2 linked regions of the Arabidopsis thaliana genome follow. The protein of the gene in region 1 interacts with the protein of each later gene in a pairwise test. Each region holds a gene or a part of one and is shown on either strand. Other genes may lie near its edges.

Region 1 (5,238 bases):
TATAATTTTATATATCCTTTTTGATCTAAGAGAAAAGGATATATTTTGGAAATTTGAATCTGATCAATGTTAATCTTAGAAGCTGATTTACGAAATATTTGAAAAAATGTAGTCAAGGACATTGCAATACTCTCATTCGAATTTAGAAACTGATATATTTATTTTATGACAGTGCTTGCATCCTCTAGGCTCTAACATGCAAGATAGTTTGCGTGCGCATGCATGTATGGCCATCTCAAAATGATAAGTTTTTTTATTAAACGAAAATATTCTCTTAAAAAGAAACGGTTGCACGTTGTAAATTAGCCATGCACACATACATGTGTAGAAACATAGATATACGTGCGTAAATATGTTACCTTCGAGGAATTTGCTGAGACGGGTAACGAATTGGACACGGCAAGTGTCACAGTAAACTGATCCTTGAATCTGGAAACGATCGAAGTCGTCAGCATCAGCGGCGGCGAAACCTGCCAGAGAAGACAAACACACGGCGGAGACGACAAAGAAAGAGAAGAAGATAGCTTTGGAAGCCATTTTTATTAGAGATTTTTGTTTTGTTTTTGGTCTTCTCTTCTTTTTGATATCTCTTTTTATATTCAAACAATAAGTTGAGATATGTTTGAGAAGAGGACAACTATTCTCGTGGAGCACCGAGTTTGTTTTATATTAGAAACCCGATTGTTATTTTTAGACTGAGACAAAAAAGTAAAATCGTTGATTGTTAAAATTTAAAATTAGTTTCATTACGTTTCGATAAAAAAATGATTAGTTTATCATAGCTTAATTATAGCATTGATTTCTAAATTTGTTTTTTGACCACCCTTTTTTCTCTCTTTGGTGTTTTCTTAACATTAGAAGAACCCATAACAATGTACGTTCAAATTAATTAAAAACAATATTTCCAAGTTTTATATACGAAACTTGTTTTTTTTAATGAAAACAGTTGAATAGTTGATTATGAATTAGTTAGATCAATACTCAATATATGATCAATGATGTATATATATGAACTCAGTTGTTATACAAGAAATGAAAATGCTATTTAAATACCGATCATGAAGTGTTAAAAAGTGTCAGAATATGACATGAAGCGTTTTGTCCTACCGGGTATTCGAGTTATAGGTTTGGATCTCTCAAGAATATTTTGGGCCATATTAGTTATATTTGGGCTTAAGCGTTTTGCAAAGAGACGAGGAAGAAAGATTGGGTCAAGTTAACAAAACAGAGACACTCGTATTAGTTGGTACTTTGGTAGCAAGTCGATTTATTTGCCAGTAAAAACTTGGTACACAACTGACAACTCGTATCGTTATTAGTTTGTACTTGGTACCTTTGGTTCAAGAAAAAGTTGATATAGTTAAATCAGTTGTGTTCATGAGGTGATTGTGATTTAATTTGTTGACTAGGGCGATTCCTTCACATCACAATAACAAAGTTTTATAGATTTTTTTTTTATAACATTTTTGCCACGCTTCGTAAAGTTTGGTATTTACACCGCATTTTTCCCTGTACAAGAATTCATATATTATTTATTTATATACTCCAGTTGACAATTATAAGTTTATAACGTTTTTACAATTATTTAAATACCATGTGAAGATCCAAGAATATGTCTTACTTCTTCTTTGTGTAAGAAAACTAACTATATCACTATAATAAAATAATTCTAATCATTATATTTGTAAATATGCAGTTATTTGTCAATTTTGAATTTAGTATTTTAGACGTTATCACTTCAGCCAAATATGATTTGGATTTAAGTCCAAAATGCAATTTCGTACGTATCCCTCTTGTCGTCTAATGATTATTTCAATATTTCTTATATTATCCCTAACTACAGAGCTACATTTATATTGTATTCTAATGACAGGGAAACTTTCATAGAGATTCAGATAGATGAAATTGGTGGGAAACATCATTGAACAGGAAACTTTTAGCAAATCATATCGATTTATCTACAAAAGAATACTTAGCGTAATGAAGTTCACTTGTTGTGAATGACTATGATTTGATCAAATTAGTTAATTTTGTCGAATCATTTTTCTTTTTGATTTGATTAAGCTTTTAACTTGCACGAATGGTTCTCTTGTGAATAAACAGAATCTTTGAATTCAAACTATTTGATTAGTGAAAAGACAAAAGAAGATTCCTTGTTTTTATGTGATTAGTGATTTTGATGCATGAAAGGTACCTACGTACTACAAGAAAAATAAACATGTACGTAACTACGTATCAGCATGTAAAAGTATTTTTTTCCAAATAATTTATACTCATGATAGATTTTTTTTTTTTGAAATGTCAATTAAAAATGCTTTCTTAAATATTAATTTTAATTAATTAAATAAGGAAATATATTTATGCAAAACATCATCAACACATATCCAACTTCGAAAATCTCTATAGTACACAAGTAGAGAAATTAAATTTTACTAGATACAAACTTCCTAATCATCAAATATAAATGTTTACAAAACTAATTAAACCCACCACTAAAATTAACTAAAAATCCGAGCAAAGTGAGTGAACAAGACTTGATTTCAGGTTGATGTAGGACTAAAATGGCTACGTATCAAACATCAACGATCATTTAGTTATGTATGAATGAATGTAGTCATTACTTGTAAAACAAAAATGCTTTGATTTGGATCAATCACTTCATGTGAACATTAGCAATTACATCAACCTTATTTTCACTATAAAACCCCATCTCAGTACCCTTCTGAAGTAATCAAATTAAGAGCAAAAGTCATTTAACTTTCCTAAAACAATGGCTTTAAAACATATGCAAATCTTTCTCTTCGTCGCTATATTTTCATCATTCTGTTTCTCCATCACTCTTTCTCGTCCACTCGACAATGAACTCATCATGCAAAAGAGGCACATCGAGTGGATGACTAAACACGGCCGTGTCTACGCGGATGTGAAGGAGGAAAACAATCGCTACGTTGTGTTCAAAAACAACGTCGAACGCATTGAACATTTAAATAGCATTCCTGCCGGAAGAACTTTCAAACTTGCGGTAAATCAGTTTGCTGATTTAACCAATGACGAATTTCGTTCCATGTACACTGGTTTCAAAGGTGTCTCGGCATTATCTAGCCAAAGCCAAACTAAAATGTCGCCGTTTAGGTACCAAAACGTTTCTTCTGGTGCTTTGCCGGTTTCTGTTGACTGGAGGAAGAAAGGAGCTGTGACCCCTATCAAGAATCAAGGCAGCTGCGGTATAACTCAAATCTTTATTCATATATATATAAGTGAAATCAAATTGAACCAACCGAAATTTATGTATTCAATCAATTTGAGTTAATTCATAGTGAACAAACCGATCCAAACCAAATCCATAGTGTAACTGACCGAATCGAATAACCATATTTTTATTAAATTTTTCTATGTTAAGTTATATATATTTTGTTTCATACCGTTTTATTGAGATATGTAGTTAGACACATGAAAATATTTATGATAGTGACACTAATGAGTGATGTTTTTGTAGGATGTTGTTGGGCGTTTTCAGCGGTTGCGGCTATTGAAGGAGCAACACAAATAAAGAAAGGGAAACTTATATCTTTGTCAGAACAACAGCTTGTTGATTGCGACACAAACGATTTTGGCTGCGAAGGCGGTTTAATGGATACTGCGTTTGAGCATATAAAAGCGACTGGCGGCTTGACAACTGAGTCAAATTATCCTTACAAAGGCGAAGACGCTACTTGCAATTCCAAAAAGACCAATCCAAAAGCAACTTCTATTACAGGTTCACTTTAGTTAAAGAGCTGGCATATAATAATTAAACAGATTAAACCGATTTTTAATCATATTATCCAAATTAATAAACATTACTATACTAGATAAAATTCATATTTTGAATCTTAAAAAGCTCATGTACGTTCACATATCATAGGTTATGAGGATGTCCCGGTTAATGATGAGCAAGCACTGATGAAGGCAGTGGCACACCAACCGGTTAGCGTTGGAATTGAAGGAGGTGGTTTTGATTTCCAATTCTATTCGTCTGGTGTGTTCACTGGAGAGTGCACTACGTATCTTGATCATGCAGTAACTGCGATTGGATACGGCGAATCTACTAACGGATCAAAGTATTGGATCATCAAGAATTCATGGGGAACAAAATGGGGAGAAAGTGGATATATGAGGATTCAAAAAGATGTCAAGGATAAACAAGGACTATGTGGTCTTGCCATGAAAGCTTCTTACCCAACTATATGAATTCAAAACCGTGTTAAGCTTTTAATTGTGTATGTTTGTGTGGGATTGATGTCTAAAAATAATTTGAATTGTTTTATGTAAAAAAATTGTATTTAGACTGTTGTATGCATTTTATGAAATTGTAAGCTTATGTAATGCAAAGGATTGATAATTTTCGAAATGTTTCTTTCAAATTTCAACGGTATTAGCTAGGGATAATTTGAAGCATATGCACAATCAAATTCCACCAAGTAAAAATGAAAATTTGTTAAAAAAATGAAGTTTGAAAACTCTTAACCATTTACTGAGAAGACTGTAATAAACCGAATTTGGTTCAGTTTGATTTTTATGGAAAAAGACGAACCGTCCGGTTAATGCTTTTTACTTTTTTAAAATAAACCGGTTTTGGTTTGCTTGGATATAAAGCCGACCCGACCCGGATTGACCATGTTCCTTGCACGACTCCTTTTTCTCACCGTTCTCCGTCATCGTCTTCTTCTTTCTCACATTCATTGACTCTCCTCCATAATAAACATTGCAATCTCTCAGAAAGATAAGATCAGCCATGGCTGAGAAAGAAACTCCAGCAATCATACTTCAATTCGCTCCATTGAACAGTTCCGTCGACGAAGGTTTCTGGCATAGCTTCTCCTCTTTGAAACTCGACAAACTCGGAATCGATGATTCTCCGATTTCAATCACCGGTAAACACACAATCATCGAATTAAAAAATCATCCAATGCATCGATTTTTATATATTATTCGATGAGTCTATGCATTCGAGCTCTTATGATCCGTTTAGGTTAGAGAAGCAAAAAAAAAAGTTGAAAACTTGAAAATCCTCTGTTTTCTGGGCAAGTTGTTATGATCCGTTTAGGTTAGAGAAGCAAAAAAAAAGTTGAGAACTTTAAAAGCCTCTGTTTTGTTTAGTAGAGATTATTCAGATTTAGAATTTATGTGCTTTTTTGGAACTGAAATTTTCAGGTTTCTATGGACCATGTGGACATCCACAAGTCTCAAATCATTTGA
Region 2 (4,716 bases), 690 kb from region 1:
TTACTTAAGTACTTGTATTGTATCAATCTAATTCTACATCGCCACACAATGAAACAGTGTTTTTTTTTGTTTTGAAACAAGAGTTCATTGTACTAGGAAAGTTTCTGGACCAATCTTCAGTAAGAATCAAATAAAACTCAGAGCAACTTAAATTATAATGTGTATGGAGGAGATTAGATGGAAGCTGAATAACTAACATATACTGCACCAAATCAAAAGCAGTTTTCGAATTTTAAAGGCTCAAACACTCATTGGGCCGATGTATGGGCCAAATACACAAGTAACTAACATATACATACTTGTGTTTGCTATGGTACCCAATGATTCATGTCATTTGTTTTCACAAACTTTTAACTCTTTTTTTTTCCTCTAAGCCGATTGAAACAAATTGGGTCCATTGCATAATTTACCTAAAGCTAAGCTGATATTGAATATTAGTTTCTTCCATCAAATGTCAATTGTTTATAATTCATCCCCCGACAAAACTAAATGGGCCGATTCTTAGGCCCATATTAGGTGGTCACTCCGGTTGTGCTAAAAATTGTTCAGAGAAGTCAAAGTCTCCAGATTGATGTCAATTGTCAACACTCTACAAGATCACTCCTTTCCATGGAGTTCAACTAGAAGAGCTTTTCGATCAATTTCACCAAATCAGAAACAATTTCGAATTTTTAACACTCCTTGGGCCGATTAATGGGCCAAATGATAGGTCACTCCAGGCCTTTCCCAAACCCTATAGTCCTCCTCGGCTATAAATAGCAAGTGGAGTAGAGCGACTTTGCTCACTCAGTTTCCTTCCAAAAGAAAGAGAAAGAGCATCGTTTTGAGCAAATGAGTAGGAACATGGAAGTTAACGCAGGCAGTTCCGGCGAAATTCCGTCTCCAAGTAAAGTTTTCATCTTTCACTGTCATTTCTTATAAAAATCAAACCTTTATAGTTTACACGTCAAATCTCTCTTTCTAATAACGAATTTGTGTTTGTTTTATCTTATGTATGTACAGTAAGGAACCGATTTCAGAAAAGTGGGAGTCAAGCGGTGTACGAGGTGACAGAGACGAAGAAATCTTGCGTGACGAGAGTCGACATGCCTGGTTGTCCCGAGTCAGATCTCACCTACTGGGTCGACGCCAACAACGTCCACTTCTTCGCCGACGAACCAGCAATGCCTGAGTACGAAAACGCCGGACGCAAATACGGAGGCTCCATGATTTTCAACCCTGAGGCTTACGACGTCAAGAAAACTAAAGTGAAGCTTATCAACGGAGTGCTCTGGATCACCGTCCCTAAGATCCCAGGCAAAAACGCTTCCATTAATGTCAAGGAGAGGATCCTCCATTACTGATTTAACAACACCTTGGTTTGTGTCTCGTAATGGTACTTGTGTCTAGCGTCTCTATCTATCTATGAACTTTGATGCAGCTACTGCTTTATGTTTATCATTTTGTGGTTTAGTTAAGAACGATCTTGCTTCTATATGTCGTGATCTCAATAAAGAAAAAGTTGTCAGCTTTCTTTGTTCTATTTAATCTTACATTAACCTAGCTATTCGATAAGACTATATAGATCTTTGCCATTATTAAACCGGATTACGAGTATGTAACCTGGACATGTTAATAGATATATGTTGTTGTAAGTAGGGATCAAACTTTTTAATAGCGTTGTCGTAATAATTGGATAAACACTAAACGACGGTTGAAACCTTATTTGATCTTTGATGAAAAAAAAAAAGATAATTGAGAGCTCATAATTTTTTTACTCTTGAAGATTGCTGACGTCAGCGTCGTCTTGTCAAAAATGTTTGAAAATTAATGAAGAGTGAAGAGTGTGGGTACGGTTTTACTTTTGCAGTCATTTTTGTCGTACATAATTACATATAAACGAAAGGAGTAAAAAAAGCGTGGGATAGCTCACAGAGCTGGTGACGTCAGCTTATTCTCTACCGTAAAAAAAATCAAAAGAGTAAAAGCAAGTTTTTTTTCTTACCGAGAGAGAGAGTCGGTGACGTAGGCAAGACCAGTCAAACTTATGCTATGAAGGTTAAAAAAAAGCCAGCTGGAGCGTGCCACGTCACAGTCTGTACCACAAGATGGTGCTTCGTCTATATTTATCAACAGGAGAACAAAACGCCATTTTTACGCAACCTACCTTGAACTAGAAGAGAAGAGAGAGCAAAAAACAAAGAGAGAGATGGGTGAGACAAAGGCAGATTTCAGGGACATGTCAAGAATTCCTAAAGTTCGAGGTATCTCTTTTCACGAGCTACTAGATTTCCCAAGAACAACATTGTTCTAATTTTTCTCGGAAAATATGTGTTTTTTCTAGAAAGTTGTCTCAATTTGTTTACTTGTGAAGTGTTAACATGAACTTGGTACAAAGATTTACAGTTTTTTTACTGTGCATGATTCATGAAAATGAAGCAGATCGAGTTAGTTCCATCTTTGATAAGTGTCTTCCTTTGTTCTCTGTATACTTTTCTTCATCAAGTTTTGATCTTTGTTTACTTATTATTATTACAGAGGGGTTCTACGCGACGAACAATCAGTTTCAGAAAGCGGGTCCAAAGGGTTTCGTTCAAGTGAAGGTTCTGGAGAACGACAATCTCTACGTGCGTGTCGACTTGCCTGGTGTTCCAGACGACGCCGTTCGCTACAGAGTTGACGCCGTGAGACAAAAGGTTGTCTTTTTCTCCGGTGAAACTCTGAACAACGGCAAGGAAGGTGTGCGTCAGTACTCTGGAACCGCTGGGCTTGGCTGTGACTGCTGCGAGATCACAGGCGTGGATGCCAAAATGAAAGATGGAGTTTTGAGGATGATTCTCACAAGGGTCAAGGTTGTGAGCAAGGCTCAAGACAACAACAACAACAAGTGTACTCTCACTGTGCCTCCTTTTACAGGTTCGACTCATTCCTCTTCTCTAAAGTCACAATCTCTTTTGCTGCATCATTTGTTGTTAATACAGTACTCTCTGTTCTTTATTAAGGTCAATCCGGAATACGCTTGGAGGATCATCCGTGTCTGGTGTCTGGTCGCAAGGGAGCACTAATTGGGGTGACAAAAGCGGGAGGAGGGGCTCACTTTGCAGTGGACATGCCAGGTGTTAGTCCGGATGATGTGGAAGTGTATGCTGATGAAAAGGAAATCAGATTCAAAGCTGAGATCAAGGACGTGTATGAACACGATGAGAGCGGTCGAACCTACCTCGGAAGCGTCCAAAGTCCTTTTCCCGCTTTAATTTCGAACAACACCATCGCTTGGGATGCAGAATTTGGTGTTCTCAGGATTGCTGTCATACCTCCTGACGACATGACCACCATCAACAACAAAAGAAACCCTATTGAATGAATGATCTCTCTACCTCTCTTTTAGCTAGTACTCTACTATATTTTCATTTTGGGACATTGACTAGTTTTCTCTGTTTAAGTTGAGACATTGTGTGTGTGAGAGAGATTAGTCCTGCTTTTGTGTTTGCTATCGAATCAAGTGATTCATGTCATTTGTTTTCACAATCTTAACTCTTTTGTTCCCCTAAGCTGAATTCAAAAACAAACAAACTGGATCCCTCGAATAACCTGATTGGTGATGATGATTGCTCAAAACCCCCTAAAGCTGATTCCATGGAATGTCAATTGTTTATAGATCCTAGGACATTTGATCTGTCACTCAACAGTGCCTAATTCCTCAATTGAATCGAAATGGTCATGAAAGGAGTGTGATCATTTTATCAGACAAGTCAAAGTTTCTACTCTTCATCATTATTAACACATCCAGTAACAAAACTAATTGGGCCGATTATTAGGCCCATGATAGGTGGATCACTCCAGGCCTTTTCCAAACTCCACGAAAGCAGGCAGAAACACTTTCTTCCCGTGAGTTTTTCCCGGTTGATCTGCGATTCAACAGTGTCTATCCGAAATTTAGTTGAAATGGTCATAGAAGAGTGTAGTAGAAAGGTTGGAATTTGTGCTCAAAATCGGTCAGAGAAGTCAAAGTTTGCTACTTTTCCAGTCTCTAGAATGATGTCAACAAGATCACTCATTTCCATGGAGTCAACTTGAAGAAGAGCTTTTTCGATCAAATCCTTGAATTCGATTGATGGGTATCCTCGGCTGCGACGCCCATGGCGATTTGAACGATGCAGAGTTCAGCAAACCCTTACCTTCGATTGGTATCTACGTTGCCGTAGCTTCACTCATCTGTGGTCTAGCCATGGCCGCCGATCTTATACACGGCTTCCGACACCGCAAATTCTGGTTTCCCTGTAAGTTCTTCTCTCTCAACGCCACTTCTCTGACTTTCATCGCTGTCGGAATCAAACTCTCTGTGGATCTCAACACTTCCATGCCGAGTCGTCAGGATCAGTTAGCTAAACTCAGCAGCACCGTCTTTGTATGTACTGTGATGGGTAATTCGATGCCTTCTCTGGGTATTATGGACAACAATGATCTCCTCATGAATCTTATGGCTTTAGGGATTCTTGTCATCACTGATGTTGTTAACATCTGTATTCAGTTGGGTACTGGTGCGATTTATGTTTTCTCTGAGGAACATTTTCTGGTCGTACTTCTCATGCTTCTTATGCTTATGATCTTGTGTTTCTCGGCCACCACAGTTCCCACTACGAAAAGAATCTTGGAGAGTAAGTACAATAAGAGGTACGACGTTGCTATGAAGTGTCCTTTGGCTACAGAGAGAACAGTTGCTAAGAAAATTCAGCA

The links. The genes of interacting proteins can lie anywhere in the genome.
Region 2: the proteins of SAG12 (region 1) and AT5G47590 interact in a two-hybrid assay, tested with the Arabidopsis thaliana proteins (one large-scale study listed by BioGRID).

Annotation. Positions count from the first base shown.
Region 1 is NC_003076.8:18,610,530-18,615,767, forward strand, and holds SAG12 (senescence-associated gene 12), read left to right. Parts: upstream 1-2,709; 5' UTR 2,710-2,770; coding exon 2,771-3,224; intron 3,225-3,496; coding exon 3,497-3,757; intron 3,758-3,904; coding exon 3,905-4,230; 3' UTR 4,231-4,434; downstream 4,435-5,238. Other genes in the region: AT5G45880 (Pollen Ole e 1 allergen and extensin family protein), read right to left, coding at 360-537; APG7 (ThiF family protein), read left to right, coding at 4,775-4,913, 5,194-5,238. UniProt on the Arabidopsis thaliana protein: Cysteine protease that may have a developmental senescence specific cell death function during apoptosis, heavy metal detoxification, and hypersensitive response.
Region 2 is NC_003076.8:19,296,572-19,301,287, reverse strand, and holds AT5G47590 (Heat shock protein HSP20/alpha crystallin family), read left to right. Parts: upstream 1-2,113; 5' UTR 2,114-2,188; coding exon 2,189-2,243; intron 2,244-2,517; coding exon 2,518-2,895; coding exon of another isoform or gene 2,896-2,981; coding exon 2,982-3,343; 3' UTR 3,344-3,674; downstream 3,675-4,716. Other genes in the region: AT5G47600 (HSP20-like chaperones superfamily protein), read left to right, coding at 832-886, 1,003-1,343; ASG7 (uncharacterized protein), read left to right, coding at 4,094-4,716.